Linked DNA regions of Pelodiscus sinensis. The protein of the gene in region 2 interacts with the protein of the main gene of each other region in a biochemical or structural test. Links are inferred from orthologs where the notes say so. Each region holds a gene or a part of one and is shown on either strand. Other genes may lie near its edges.

Region 1 (7,695 bases), on a different chromosome or scaffold from region 2:
CCCCCAGCACTATCTCCACAGGGGAGAGGGGAAGCAGAGGCGTAGCAGGAGACTGGATGCTGCGCCTCTGCTTTTTAAATGTATTAAGAGCCACTAGTCAATTAGTTGATTAAACGCAATTTAACATCCCTATCATAAACATTCACACAAGTTATCAACACAAATGGGTAAGCTCTGCATGTAAGAGCGGCTCCTGAGCAGGAGGCTTTACTGCTCCAGCACCCTACTGGTTAAGACGACCCAATAAGCATTAGCCTTTTAGGGTGATGATTGCCAGTTAACCGGATAACATCCCTAATCCAGAGAAAAAAAAATATCTAAGAGCAGAGCTACAGAAAAGCTACACCAAGTACAGCTAGGAAAATCCAGTCCTCCTTGCCCTTAGATTGAGCCTCCCTTCTTTCAGCTTAAGACTGCTTCCAGCACACGAACTTTCTAATCTCAGTGGAAGGAAAAGAACCATTAAGGATTCTGTGGGCCACATGTTTAAAAACTCACTGGAAAGGGTCTCTGAATATCTGCTCACTGTCCTACAAAACAATTTTACACCACCTGTTTTTGCTCACATCTTTATTATACACTCCATGCAACATCCTAAATCTAAGACTGCCCACAAAAGTCAAGAAAAAGCTAAAGATTGACCAGTTAGCACTCTGTTTCCTATATAACAATCTACATCATTGCTAAGTTTTCTAGCAGGACTCTTTCTGAAACATTCTAGCTTGGCTTAGCGCTTTGGACATAGACCTACTAGGTCAATCTCATTCTATATGCTTTTACAATGCACGGATCTCAATAGCATCTGAACGCCTTCCAGTAACATGCTGCGTGATGTGACTACTGTCATATGTTATTTGTTCTCATCCTCTCCCTAGAGGGAGAAACGTGTTCAGGGAAGTATGATTGTTCAGTAGTGTCTGCTTCCACCCCTACGGCTTTTTTTATATAAATATATGTTGTTAAAGAGTGGAGAAGGCTAGATGAAAGAGATGGGTCTTGCCCTTGAATCAGAAAATGGTGAGGTTTGTGGTGGTACTTCATCCTTGGGGTAGCTCATTCCAGCATCTCAGACAACCTCTGAAGAAATCGGTCTCCTGCACAGACAAGCTTTACTCTTATTGTTGAGATTTCTACAGTGCTACAGGAGCAGAGCTGTTAACCATGCTCTTTGCCTCTGAGTTTTAGACAATCCTTTAGGTACTTGGCTCAGGCCAAGGAGCACTTTGAAGGTAACAACTGAAACCTTGATTTGCTGGTTCTATGGGAAGCCAGCATAGAGGACAGAGGACAGATGTGATATGTCTGTGTTGCTGCTGATGTGCTGTAGCCTTCTGCACTAGCAGCTCTTTGTCCATCTAGATGGGACAGAGTTTCCCTAGCTAAACAGACACAGAAGTAAGCACCGCTTGCAGATACTGACAAGTGAGAGCTCAATCAATGTTAGTGAGGAATCCAAAAGAACTCCTGACTACTGACTGGACTGAACTGACCAATTGTGGGTCTCTCTCTCTCAATCAACGTAAACAATGCCATGACCGCAGGCTCTTCAAGATACTTTCCTGTGACCATCACCTCTGTCATTGAAACGCCTTTTGGTGAAATTACACTTTTCATGGGATCCCTCAAAAAGACACCAAAGAATTTTTGAGACTTAAATGAGCTCTTGCCCAACCAATGCTCTTTCAGGGATTCAAGGGAAAATTTCAGTCACCACAACTTCCAACAAATCCAGGGTTGCCAAATCTTTCATCTCTTTTCTTGCATCAGGCAACAGGTGGAAGCGTCTTTTCTATACAGCAAAATCTTGCCAGCCAAGGAGCCCATCAACTCAACAGGAAGACTGAAGAACTTTCTCCTCCTGAACCATACCTCCTGACACATGGGCTCTGAAGATTAGTCACACAGGTCTTCTCAGTAATTCCCAAACACTTAATTTCTGGCCTCCTCATCCCACTAAATAAACTTAACAGTTTCTCAATTATCATCAGCTTAAGAATGAGTGTTCTAGTTCCAGGTGACAAGAAGTTCTTCAGTTTCTCAAGATCCTGATGACCAGGGCTTGACAAACAGTGGCGAAATCTGTTCACCAGCCCCGCAGTGCGCATGCGCAAGACCCGCATTGCACATGCAAGCGCCGCCGATGAATGGGGCGACCGGAAGAAACGTGGCGAGTAGATTCAATGACTTGTCGAGCGCTGCTGATGACCGACAATTGTTAAAACCCTGAAGAGGAAAGTCAGAAGCTTCCACAAGTTTCAGAATCAAAGAACTGAGCAAGAACCCACCAAGTACCACTGCCTCCATCAATGAGGCCCAATGCCAGCCCGTACCAAGGACGTTTTCTGTGCACTGCTGCAACACCGTCCCTTAAAGAATGTACAGGGACCACCTGAAAGAGGCATTGGCTAATCAACGGATTCGCTTTCCATCTTTTGGCACAAATCTCTTCCTCTTCAATGGCGAGTCCCGAAGTGGCAATCCAGCCGGTGGCTTTCCAGACGACGTCCAGGTCCCGCTTTCCGACGGCTCGTGTTCTCTGTGTGAGCGCGCCTGGTACCGAAAGGGGCTGGGCGTCTCACCCCACGGCCGGGCCGGAGCCCCCGGGCCACGCTGGGCGTTCCGGCTAGCCGGGCGAGGCCTCGGCCGGGGCACGTCCCCCCCGCTCCCGGGCCAGGGGTCCCCTGGGGGGCGGGGCCGGGCCCAGGGACTTGCCACAGGCCCTACCCGGACGCCCCTCCCCCACACCAGGCCTCAGGCCGCGCTTGGGGCGGGGCCACGGGGCGGGCGCTCCCCCGACGGCCCCGCGCGGCCGCTCCCGGGGCCTGGCCCGCAGCCAGGCCGCGCTCCCGGCATCCCTCGCGGGCGGGGGCGGGGGGAGCCCGTCCCGCGCAGGCCGTTACCTTGGGCTTCTCCTCGGACATGGCGGCGTCGGACGAGTCCGGCCTGGCGCGGGCACAGTCACGCTCCGGGCTCCCGCCTCGCAACCGCCGCAACTGCCCGCGAGCGCGCGCTTCGCCCCCCGAATCCCCGGCCCCTGATTGGCTCCGGCGGGGGCCACGTGCCGGCGCGCGCTCACGAGGCGCGCTCGCGAGCGATGCTTGTCGGGGGCGCGCTTTAGGGGCGGAGGCAGGGCGGGGCGCTCGGAAGTGCGTCATCGGGGAACCGGAACTGGTGCGGGGCGCCAACATGGAGGGGCCAAGGGAGCGCCCCACAGTGCTTGGGGGGGGCAGCACGGGGGCCCCCGGGGCAGCGCCTCTCAGAGCCTGGGGGGGGGCAGCACGGGGGCCCCGGGGCAGCGCCTCTCAGAGCTTGGGGGGGGGCAGCACGGGGGCCCCGGGGCAGCGCCTCTCAGAGCCTGGGGGGGGGCAGCACGGGGGCCCCGGGGCAGCGCCTCTCAGAGCCTGGGGGGGGCAGCACGGGGGCCCCCGGGGCAGCGCCTCTCAGAGCCTGGGGGGGGGGCAGCACGGGGGCCCCCGGGTCAGCGCCTCTCAGAGCCTGGGGGGGGCAGCACGGGGGCCCCGGGGCAGCGCCTCTCAGAGCCTGGGGGGGGCAGCACGGGGGCCCCGGGGCAGCGCCTCTCAGAGCCTGGGGGGGGCAGCACGGGGGCCCCCGGGGCAGCGCCTCTCAGAGCCTGGGGGGGGGGCAGCACGGGGGCCCCGGGGCAGCGCCTCCCAGAGCCTGGGGGGGGCAGCACGGGGGCCCCGGGGCAGCGCCTCTCAGAGCCTGGGGGGGGCAGCACGGGGGCCCCGGGGCAGCGCCTCCCAGAGCCTGGGGGGGGCAGCACAGGGGCCCCGGGGCAGCGCCTCCCAGAGCCTGGGGGGGGCAGCACGGGGGCCCCGGGGCAGCGCCTCTCAGAGCCTGGGGGGGGGCAGCACGGGGGCCCCGGGGCAGCGCCTCCCAGAGCCTGGGGGGGGCAGCACGGGGGCCCCGGGGCAGCGCCTCCCAGAGCCTGGGGGGGGCAGCACGGGGGCCCCGGGGCAGCGCCTCCCAGAGCCTGGGGGGGCAGCACGGGGGCCCCCGGGGCAGCGCCTCTCAGAGCCTGGGGGGGGCAGCGCGGGGGCCCCGGGGCAGCGCCTCTCAGAGCCTGGGGGGGGCAGCGCGGGGGCCCTCGGGGCAGCGCCTCTCAGAGCCTGGGGGGGGGCAGCACGGGGGCCCTCGGGGCAGCGCCTCTCAGAGCCTGGGGGGGGGCAGCACGGGGGCCCCGGGGCAGCGCCTCTCAGAGCCTGGGGGGGGGCAGCACGGGGGCCCCCGGGGCAGCGCCTCTCAGAGCCTGGGGGGGGGCAGCACGGGGGCCCCCGGGGCAGCGCCTCTCAGAGCCTGGGGGGGGGCAGCACGGGGGCCCCCGGGGCAGCGCCTCTCAGAGCCTGGGGGGGGCAGCACGGGGGCCCCCGGGGCAGCGCCTCTCAGAGCCTGGGGGGGGGCAGCACGGGGGCCCCCGGGGCAGCGCCTCTCAGAGCCTGGGGGGGGGCAGCACGGGGGCCCCCCGGGCAGCGCCTCTCAGAGCCTGGGGGGGGGCAGCACGGGGGCCCCGGGGCAGCGCCTCTCAGAGCCTGGGGGGGGCAGCACGGGGGCCCCCGGGGCAGCGCCACCCAGAGCCTGGGGGGGCAGCACGGGGGCCCCGGGGCAGCGCCTCTCAGAGCCTGGGGGGGGCAGCACGGGGGCCCCCGGGGCAGCGCCTCCCAGAGCCTGGGGGGGCAGCACGGGGGCCCCCGGGGCAGCGCCTCCCAGAGCCTGGGGGGGGGCAGCACGGGGGCCCCCGGGGCAGCGACTCCCAGAGCCTGGGGGGGGGCAGCACGGGGGCCCCTGGGGCAGCGCCTCTCAGAGCCTGGGGGGGGCAGCACGGGGCCCCCGGGGCAGCGCCTCCCAGAGCCTGGGGGGGGGCAGCACGGGGGCCCCCGGGTCAGCGCCTCTCAGAGCCTGGGGGGGGGGCAGCACGGGGGCCCCCGGGTCAGCGCCTCTCAGAGCCTGGGGGGGGGGCAGCACGGGGGCCCCCGGGGCAGCGCCTCTCAGAGCCTGGGGGGGGGGGGCAGCACGGGGGCCCCGGGGCAGCGCCTCTCAGAGCCTGGGGGGGGGCAGCACGGGGGCCCCGGGGCAGCGCCTCTCAGAGCCTGGGGGGGGGGCAGCACGGGGGCCCCGGGGCAGCGCCTCTCAGAGCCTGGGGGGGGGGCAGCACGGGGCCCCCGGGTCAGCGCGCCTCAGAGCCTGGGGGGGCAGCACGGGGCCCCCGGGTCAGCGCGCCTCAGAGCCTGGGGGGGCAGCACGGGGGCCCCCGGGTCAGCGCGCCTCAGAGCCTGGGGGGAGCAGCACGGGGGCCCCATGGTCAGCGTGCCTCAGAGCCTGGGGGGAGTAGCACGGGGGCCCCATGGTCAGCGCCTCTCAGAGCCTGGGGGGGGCAGCGCCTCTCAGAGCTTGGGGGGGCAGCACGGGGGCCCCTGGGGCAGCGCCTCTCAGAGCCTGGGGGGGCAGCACGGGGCCCCCGGGGCAGCGCCTCTCAGAGCTTGGGGGGGCAGCATGGGGCCCTGGGTCAGCGCCTCTCAGAGCCTGGGGGGGCAGCACGGGGCCCCCGGGGCAGCGCCTCTCAGAGCTTGGGGGGGCAGCACGGGGGCCCCTGGGGCAGCGCCTCTCAGAGCCTGGGGGGGCAGCACAGGGGCCCCGGGGCAGTGCCTCTCAGAGCCTGGGGGGGCAGCACGGGGACCCCCGGGGCAGCGCCTCTCAGAGCCTGGGGGGGGCAGCGCCTCTCAGAGCCTGGGGGGGGCAGCGCCTCTCAGAGCCTGGGGGGAGCAGCACGGGGGCCCCCGGGTCAGCGCCTCTCAGAGCCTGGGGGGGCAGCACCTCTCAGAGCCTGGGGGGGCAGCACGGGGGCCCCTGGGGCAGCGCCTCTCAGAGCCTGGGGGGGCAGCACAGGGGCCCCGGGGCAGCGCCTCTCAGAGCCTGGGGGGGCAGCACGGGGACCCCCGGGGCAGCGCCTCTCAGAGCCTGGGGGGAGCAGCACGGGGGCCCCCGGGTCAGCGCCTCTCAGAGCCTGGGGGGGCAGCACCTCTCAGAGCCTGGGGGGGCAGCACGGGGCCCCCGGGGCAGCGCCTCTCAGAGCCTGGGGGGGGGCAGCACAGGGGCCCCGGGGCAGCGCCTCTCAGAGCCTGGGGGGGCAGCACGGGGGCCCCGGGGCAGCGCCTCTCAGAGCCTGGGGGGGGCAGCACGGGGGCCCCATGGTCAGCGCCTCTCAGAGCCTGGGGGGGGGGCAGCGCCTCTCAGAGCCTGGGGGAGCAGCACGGGGCCCTGGGTCAGCGCCTCTCAGAGCTTGGGGGGGGCAGCATGGGGCCCTGGGTCAGCGCCTCTCAGAGCCTGGGGGGGCAGCACGGGGCCCCCGGGGCAGCGCCTCTCAGAGCTTGGGGGGGCAGCACGGGGGCCCCGGGGCAGCGCCTCTCAGAGCCTGGGGGGGCAGCACAGGGGCCCCTGGGGCAGCGCCTCCCACAGCCTGAGGGAGGGGGGGCAGCTTCCCCCAAGTCCTGGTACTGCCACAATTACATCTGCCCTCCAGGAGTACTGGCCTGGTGGGCGAGGGGGGGGGTGGAGGGGGTAGCCCCTGGCAGCCCCTTCCCTGTCTGACACCCCCCAGCACAGACACACAATGTCCGGCTCCGAGCCGCCACTGTGCACCCGCAGCTTGAGCGTGGTACTGTCCTCCCCATTTTAAAGATGGGGCAACTGAGGCTGCATAGAGGCGTACAAATACAGGAAACCCCCCCCTTTCATCCAGCCCAAGTTGCGACCCCCCCCCCACCCACTTACGACCGTTTTTGTAAGTGTGGAAGGGGCTGGAAACCCCCGCCTTACATCCTTGGCCTGTAATTACAACACCGCATGGCACCTATTGTAAACGTAGGTTCGAGTTACAACGCCCCCGCCTTGCACCGCTTCCCCCAGAACCAATCACATCACAAGTCTGGGAGCGCCTGTACTTGTGTTCCCTTGTGTGACTGCTCATGACTCTCCCGTGTACACATGCAAAATACACCCCCATGTACACTAATGGACATATAGATAGCTATAGCCCTCTGTGTGGCCAATGGCCAACATATATACACATAGAAATAAACATGAACCAATATACACTAATGAATATGCCTGCATAAACATGTATGAGCATATAGGAAAACAGGCACATGTTTTTGTAAATGAAAAGACATGCATAAACATGCATCCTGAGCTGTTTATAGTGTATCCACATGCCAACATGGATGCACACATGTACAAAACATGCACAAAGTATGCATAGATGCTATTTCCCCCACAAAGTATGCATAGATGCACAAACCCCACAACTAACATACATGTATGCACAACTCCTGCATATACAATAGTAACAGACATGTATACAAATAAATGCACACAATTCAGACCAGTGCACAAAAAGTGCACATACGTATACATACACTGGGGAATGTATTTGGCTCCTATGGATCCTGGCATGTTGTGCTAATACATATACAAGACATGTTATACAAAAGGTCAGACTAGATCTCGCACATTCCTTCTAGCCATAGATTCTATTAAAAGACTTGCATACAAAACCACATAAATGTATACATATAAATACATGTATGTATGTGGAAGGAGTTGTAAGCATACATTTGCAAAGGAGAATACGTATGTGCATACAAAGCAATAATTCACATACATCAGTGTGACATACAT
Region 2 (7,847 bases):
GGGGACATCATTACATGTCCCACTCGTGGAGAAACATTGGCCTTACTGAAATAAGTGTGAGTTGTAATACCATCTCCAATGGGATCAGAAAAGGATTTCATGCCTTGCCCAGACTGATACAAAGGAGTCTGGAGCATAAAAATTGTATCAAATATTCAATGGAGGCTACATTTGCTGTTAAGCAGCAGATGGCGATAAAGGGACAGGTGACAGAATGCACTCAGCCGAACAAGCTCCTGTGTTAGTCTGTAAAGGGGGGGGGGGGGGGGGGGAGAAGTCACACAGCGAACTGGAGTCTCTGCTTGAGCAGGAGGATGGATTCCCACAGGTGTACGGACACCGGGGACTCCCCCCAGCCATGGGCGGTGAGCCCAGTCCTGAGGAGACGCTCCACGACTGACAATACCGCGCCCCGAAACTGAAAGGCGGACGCACGGACACCTCCCGCTGCTGTTATCTGCGCCTGCGCACCGAGAACGCCTGCGGCAGGGCGGTCTCTCTTTGCGCGTGCGCGGTCATGGCGCTCCCAGCTGCCCCGTCTCCATAGTAACGGAGAAGCGCAGCGGCCTTTCGGGGGCACTCACCGCCTCCTTGGCCTGGTGGGTGGTCTTCAGCGTCTGGTAGGAAAGCTCCATGGTTGCGGGGTACGCGGAGAGAGACCCGCTTCTCTCACGGTATAAGCGGGAAAGTAAAACCCACTCGGAGACACCGGGCACCGACCCCACAACGACTCATCGGCACACCGCTCGGGTGGAGAGGGAGGGCCTGTCTGAGGCGCTGACCAATCAGCGGGCGGGGTGGCGGGCGTTGTCCGTTGTCTTGACCTATCAGAGTGCCGGGAGGCGGGGATTGTCTTTAGAACTGTCCAATCACAGAATTACAAAAAAAACCCGAGCGGCTTGACCTACTGGCCAATCGTCATATAGGGAGGCAAGGCCCGCCGGGGATACTGGCCAATCACCACATCGGACAACGGCGCGTGCCCCTGTCTGCAGCTGAGCCTGGGCTGTGCGGAGAACGTGCGGGATAGAGCCCTGCTCCGCGCTGCCTGTCCCCGCTGGGCGCGGAGAGCAGCTGGGGGCAGGCATCCCTCCTCCACACCGGGCCTGGGCACCGGTCTGAATGAGCCTAGACCCCACCCCATCATGCCTTTATTCCATGCCCAGCCCACCCTGCCATTAGCTCAGTGCCCAGGCCCAGCCCAACTCCACTGCCATTAGCTTCTTGTTCCGTTCCCTGTTCCCCCCATTAGCTCCTCACTCCATGCCAGCTGTCAGTACATGCCCACTCTGCCATTAGTTCTTTGCACGTCGGAGCAGAAGCAGCATAGGGCCCTTGTCAACAGTTCCAGCCCTGCCCTTATCTCCCTTCCTAGCAGGGCATGGTCTCATGGCCCTGGAACATCTCAGAAGGCACTCGCCCCGGCTGTGTCTCGACTAGCAAGTTTTTCCACAAAAGCAGCTGCTTTTGCAGAAGAACTTGCCAGCTGTCTACACTGGCCACTTGAATTTCCGCAAGAACACTGACGATCTCATGTAAGAAATCAGTGCTTCTTGCGGAAATACTATGCTGCTCCCGTTCGGGCAAAAGTCCTTTTGCGCAAAAGTGTTTGCGCAAAAGGACCAGTGTAGACAGCTCAGATTTGTTTTGCGCAAAAAAGCCCCGATCGCGAAAATGGCAATGGGGGCTTTTTTTGCACAAAAGCACATCTTGATTGGCACGGACCCTTTTCTGCAAAAAGTGCTTTTGTGAAAAAGCGTCTGTGCTAATCGAGATGCTATTTTTTGCAAATGCTTTTAACGGAAAACTTTTTCATTAAAAGCATTTGCAGAAAATCATGCCAGTCTAGATGTAGCCCCTGTTTTCATCCTCTGTCCACAGCAGGTATATTCAGAGGTATATGGGACATCTCCCAGAACATGCCCTCATTTACAAACCACTACCTGCACCTGATAAACCTTGATGTGGTTTATCAGCTAAGGAGATGAGATGTCCTAGAGATTAGTGGTTAAAGAGGCATTTTTGATAGGGAGTGTTAAGGGTGGAGTGGGGCTCAGGCAGTTAAGAATAGAATAGAGAATAATGTGAAAGATATAATGGGGGCTGGAGGAGTGTGTCTTGACAGACCATATGTAGGGGGCACAAAAGCTAAATTGGTTTAGGAGAGTACAAGTATAAATGGCATGAATTTATCCAAAGATAATTAAGGGTGGTGGTGTGGAAGCACTGAACCAACTGAATTTAAAACAAGTTCAGTACAACTGATGGCTTAATTAAAAATGTTTCAAGCCACTAGCATAGAAATAAGGCCCTACTGGTAAAGCCAATCTTAAATCTCTACTGTGCATCAGATAAGACTGCTTATGGAAGTAGGAATAAGAGATCCTCCGGAATAGGGCTTTATTCCGGAGGATTGGGCCAGTCTAGATGCTTTTTTCCGGCTTTTCCCCAAGCCGGAAAAAAGCGGCGGACATCTTTATTTAAATCCCCCGTGGATTTCCCTATTCTGAAGTTGAAAATTAGCATGCCCCTTTCGGAAAAGGGGCCAGTGTAGACGTAGCCTATGTGTCTAGTAGAGGACATGATTGATAAACTTCACACAGTCCACTGTCTCCCACATCCTGCACTAGTTTCCAAGGGCTCTAATTTCCAAAGATTACATGGCCTTCTGACTGATGGGATAAGCAGGAATTCAACTATTCAATAAACTTTTTCCTGTGGTACTGGGAATAGTGGATGGCATGGATATGAAAAATCGTAAACTGAGACAGCTGCATCAAGCATCATTGTACTTAAACTGTGAAACATGATAGCAGGATGCAATGCACAACCGGAATCTATAGACACATACAAAATTCCATACATCCTGCCATTACTCATAAATGTGGACACTATCTACCAAAGGTGAAGGTTGCTTGGTAAGGAGAAGGAAATAAGCCATGAACCATCGAAGTGTTTCCCTCTTCCCGCTGTTCCTATCTCGAGGAGTTGGACCCAGTTACCTTACTGGAAACTTTAAAGGCCATAGAATCTGGGACCTGAAGAATTCTGAATTATAGCAGGCACTGTTGGCAGTGCCCCTCTACTATATATATTGGTCAAACTGGATGTTCTCTACGTGAAAGAATCAATGGACACAAATTGGATATACATGAAGAAAATACTCAGAAGCCAGTGGCAGAACATTTCTGTTCACCTAACCATAATCTCACAGTTCTGAAGGTGGTGGTCTTGTCACAGGCCAGTTCCTCAAGCCAAATAGACAGGGAAGACTTGGAATTACAATATATATGCAAATTCAATTCAATTAATTATGGACTTATTCAAGATATGGGGTGGTGGAAACTTTATCAATGAAGGTGCTAACTACTTTCTAAATGGTATCCTTCTTGACTTACCCATCCACTGACTTTCATCTTTATCTACTCAGGTTTAACACCCTTTCTCCTGATACTTTATGCATAGAGATAGGGGGGTAGGTGACAGGTTTAACACACTTCCCACCCCCTTCCCTTCTCCTATTTATTTCGAGTTTCTTTATCCTCTAATCATAACTCCAGTCATCTGAAGAAGTGGGCTGTGCCCACAAAAGCTCATGATACCATGTTTTGTTAGTCTATAAAGTGCTACCAGACCATTTGCTTGCTGGTTTTTTTCTATGTTGTAAAGTATTTGTAAAAACTCAAACCCCTATCTTGCAGATGGTTCTGCAGATGCAAGTCCCTGTAACTATGCAGAACAAGTTGCAGGCTCATGGTTGCAGTTGGCAATTTAGTGGCTTACAAGGAAGTGGGCAATCAGGTAATCCAGATGAGTAGAGGAGAAAAACATATGAAACCATTTAATATAAATATTTTACTTAAATTAATAATGGTCAATATAACAATTGTATTTCTTGACAGTAAACATTTTCCTGGTGTTTGCAACTACTACTTTGGAGCACTGTATGAGAACAGGAAAGAGAAACAGAGCTCGCGTGTTTGTCAAAGCCCATCAAAGTACAAAAAGTAAGCAGTGACGAATAAATATAAATTAACTTTCTTTGTAAGCTGTTACTATTAGTACTATAACTAAGGAAATTTTACTTTAACCTGATAACATGCCTAGTTTAGAACAATACAGATTTTTTTATTGGTTCATACAACAGACACAGGGTTGAGTTATGCTGCTGCCTTCCATTTCTAAGTTTTGCTGTTCCAAACTGCAGGGCCTCAGTCCATTTCAGAAATTAGACGCAGTGGGTGTATTTCCAACAAAAATTGTTTTCTTCAGCTATAGATAATAGAATAATAAGGCTTCTAAAAGCCAGAGCACAAATTGAAAATAAATGAGAGTAGGACTGTATCTCCACCAGGCTTTAAAAATGTTAGCACCTGTGTAAAGAGGGTGTTAAATGCTACTGAATTAGAATTCTCCTCTCACCTTCATTTGTGCTAATATGTTACACTCTCTTTCCACAAGACAATGGATCTGATGCAGAACTTGCAGTTTAAAGTCTTTATGACTAAACATAATCCCATATAGACTTAAAACACAGTCTGTCCCCACTGCTACTTTCTTTGTATCCATCATTCAGTAAGGCTGGATAACACAGGGCTTAAAATGCTAATAAGCCTAATTTGTGAGCAGCTGTGTGGTTTCTAACTGCCTGCCCCAAGGTTTAAACCCTGGCTTGCAATCACCCATTTGGCTTTCCTGGTGCTATCAGTATTTTATTAGGCAACAAAGCTATGGTAGACTCAGTATCACCAACATGCATGGCAAAGGGCCTTGAAAAGATTATTATTATGCTAATGATGTATGTCCCTGTTAACCAGCCTATCCCTATGAGGTGAAAGAGCATCTGGCTTCTGGAGAGTTTGCTCCCCGGTATGAGTAGTACTTTGGTATAGAAAACCCTGCATTATTGGCTTCCCTAGTAAGAGGTACTGCTTTGCTGATGGCTACTTCACAGCAAGGCAAGGTGTCTGCTCCACAGAGAGCTGCCTCATCATTCTGCTCTGTGCCTTTCACTACAAAACAAGAGAGGCCAGAAGGCCAAAGTGTGGGAGATGCTCCTAGGGCTGTGCCAGTGGCCCCAAGGAGGCTGAGAAGAAGGAGGAAGTGGAAGAAGCTGCCAAGAGAAGTCACAATTGAGGTAAGCTTGTTTAAAGCTTATAGAAGGCAGGAGAGGCTGTCTTTTTAATAGGCTTTGACACCCTCAGCAGCCTGAGTGGCTTATTATCTGTGGTTGATGGCTGGTCAATACATTGTATGCAGGGGCACTCAAAAGCTGGGGTTTATCTGTGAGCACAAAAGGTAGTTTAAAACTCTTTGGGAATGCTGATGGGCTGATGCACCAGGAATGGGGGAAGGGAAGATTTCCCCCAGAAGAAGAGAAACTCAAAGGGGAGAAACTTAAAAAACAACAAATAGTCAGGTATCACTTTAAAGACTAACAGAGAGACTGTTCAGGCCTGGAGTAGGAAATGAATGGGGAAGGCCCTTTGGGGGAGGGGGAGAAAGGAAAAAGGGAAGGGGTCCCTGAGGAGGAAAGGGGAAGGCAGCTTTGGGAGGAGGACCTTGGAAGGGGAAGAAGACTTGTGAAAAGTGGGGCCTGGAAAAGAGAGAGCATTGTGGAAGGTGGAAAGTAGGGAGGCCGATTAAGAGAAGATCTAGAAATGGTTGGGGTGGAAAACTGGAGACAGGGCGAGAAGGAGGAATGTAGAGAAGGAGGAAGAGTTGAAAAAAGTAGTTATCGAGGAAATTGAATCCAAAGGACAAATGGGAAACAGTAGACTAGAAAGTAAGGTAGATTAATGTCCTTTCTAATAACCTGTTAGGTGTCAAAACATTGCAAAAACAGTCTGTTTGCTTAGCTCACCTGATATTGGAATATGTGATTCTGTGGGTTACTGGGTGGATAGACAGACATAGATGTGAATTGGAAGGGGATAGAGAAGCCAAATATCCCTCTGTGCGAAGGTGAAAATATCCTGTTTTGTGGGTGTTCTATAGATCTGATTCTGTTTTCATATGTAACTGAAGTGAAAGATATGAGGGTGTGGTGTGTGTCTACCATGAGACTGACCATAATGGGTCAGCCTTCTTTCCTCCAACTCCCTCACCCAGACCAGCCACAATGGGTTTGTCTTTTGTTTTTGAATAGGGTGTGTTTATAACAGAATTGAACAATTGTGACAACTATCATTGTTAAACATGAGTATAAAGTCAGTGTAGATAGCACAAGTCATCCCTGATCATTTCATAGAATACTAGGACTGGAAGGGACCTCGAGAGGTCATCGAGTCCAGTCCCCTGCCCCCATGGCCGGACTAAATACTGTCTAGACCATCCCTGATAGACATTTATCTAACCTACTCTTAAATCTCTCCAGAGATGGGGTTTCTACAACCTCCCTGGGCAATTTATTCCAGTGTTTGACTACCCTGACAGTTAAGACATTTTTCCTAATGTCCAACCTAAACCTCCCTTGCTGCAGTTTAAGCCCATTGCTTCTTGTTTTATCCTCAGAGGCCAAGATGAACAAGTTTTCTCCCTCCTCCTTATGACACCCTTTTAGACACCTGAAAATGGCTATCATGTCCCCCCTCAGTCTTCTCTTTTCTAAACTTAACAAACCCAATTTTCAGCCTTCCTTCATAGGTCATGTTCTCTAGATCTTTAATCATTCTTGTTGCTCTTCTCTGGACCCTCTCCAATTTCTCCACATCTTTCTTGAAATGTGGTGCCCAGAACTGGACACAATATTCCAACTGAGGCCTAACCAGTGCAGAGTAGAGAGGAAGAATGACATTTAGATCCCATGGGTTCAGCAAGGTTTATCTTCAACCAGCTGACCTATTACACACAAAGGTCTCTGTCTGAATTGACCTCCATTTTGTATTGTACACCGAATAAATGTGACTCCTTGAGGTAACAAAATGACACAATCTTCTAGAGTTGTCAAGCCAACTAGAGAGCATAGAAGTAGAGGCTGCCTATGGCATAGCTCTATGAGCCTCCCCAGAAGAGTAAAGGCTGTGCAATGTTTTCAGTCTTCAATGGCCAACAGAACTGATTGGGCTTGAGGAGGAATTTTGCATGTTGTCTCCTGTGCCAGTGCATTTGAAGTCTAACTTTAGTATGCACTTCCCAGAAGGAATTATCCAGAATTCTACCTGACAACTCCTGCTGCAAGTGGCCTGCTGCACAAGCGATGGCTAACTCATGTAATTCAGAGCTCTTTGTCTTAATGTTTTAAAGCCATATTTAACTTCTAACAAAATATAGAAAAAGTGCCTCTGCTTGCTAACTGCAGGACACTATTTGGAATTTCAAAACTTTCTGGGGCAGGAAGCCTGTATCTTTGCTTTCTAATGTCTCTCCAGGTCTCTTCACTTTCTCCCTCCTTGAGCTGGCCTGGTTGGTTGGTTGGTTGTTGATTCCATCATTCCTTTTTTATTTTAGCAAATCAGTTTTTGATTTAACAGCAGTATTGTCAACCAAACTGAACATTGTGACTGGGCAATTATTGTAACTTGAGATTATCTCTAGCTACTTTTGAAAATACACTTTTCAGTTGCACCTCAATGTTAGTTTTGCTGTAAATGTCTCAGCGTTTCCTTTGCAGCAGGAGACCCATTTTTCTTTTTCAGATTTACTGCTTTGTGACATTTTCTGCTTCATTTTTTATTAATAAAATGAATCTCATTGTCGCCACTTCTGTTGTGATGAGACTGTATCCAATAATAAATGGAAAAAACTGAGACCAATGATATCATTCTAGTCCATATATATTATATACACACACTGCACTTTAACTTGTTCAGACTCAAAATGTTCACTATACTAGCTCTCATTAATAG

Evidence for each region. The genes of interacting proteins can lie anywhere in the genome.
Region 1: the proteins of PIAS2 (region 2) and SUMO3 form a complex in vitro, tested with the Homo sapiens proteins (2 studies listed by BioGRID, with this or other methods). The link is inferred for Pelodiscus sinensis from reciprocal best matches to the Homo sapiens genes PIAS2 and SUMO3.

What each region holds. Positions count from the first base shown.
Region 1 is NC_134720.1:3,174,841-3,182,535, forward strand, and holds the start of SUMO3 (small ubiquitin-related modifier 3), read right to left. Parts: upstream 3,086-7,695; 5' UTR 2,922-3,085; coding exon 2,901-2,921; intron 1-2,900. UniProt on the Homo sapiens protein: Ubiquitin-like protein which can be covalently attached to target lysines either as a monomer or as a lysine-linked polymer. Does not seem to be involved in protein degradation and may function as an antagonist of ubiquitin in the degradation process.
Region 2 is NC_134716.1:117,838,425-117,846,271, forward strand, and holds the start of PIAS2 (E3 SUMO-protein ligase PIAS2), read left to right. Parts: upstream 1-4,842; 5' UTR 4,843-4,939; coding exon 4,940-5,137; intron 5,138-7,847. Other genes in the region: KATNAL2 (katanin p60 ATPase-containing subunit A-like 2), read right to left, coding at 585-635. UniProt on the Homo sapiens protein: Functions as an E3-type small ubiquitin-like modifier (SUMO) ligase, stabilizing the interaction between UBE2I and the substrate, and as a SUMO-tethering factor.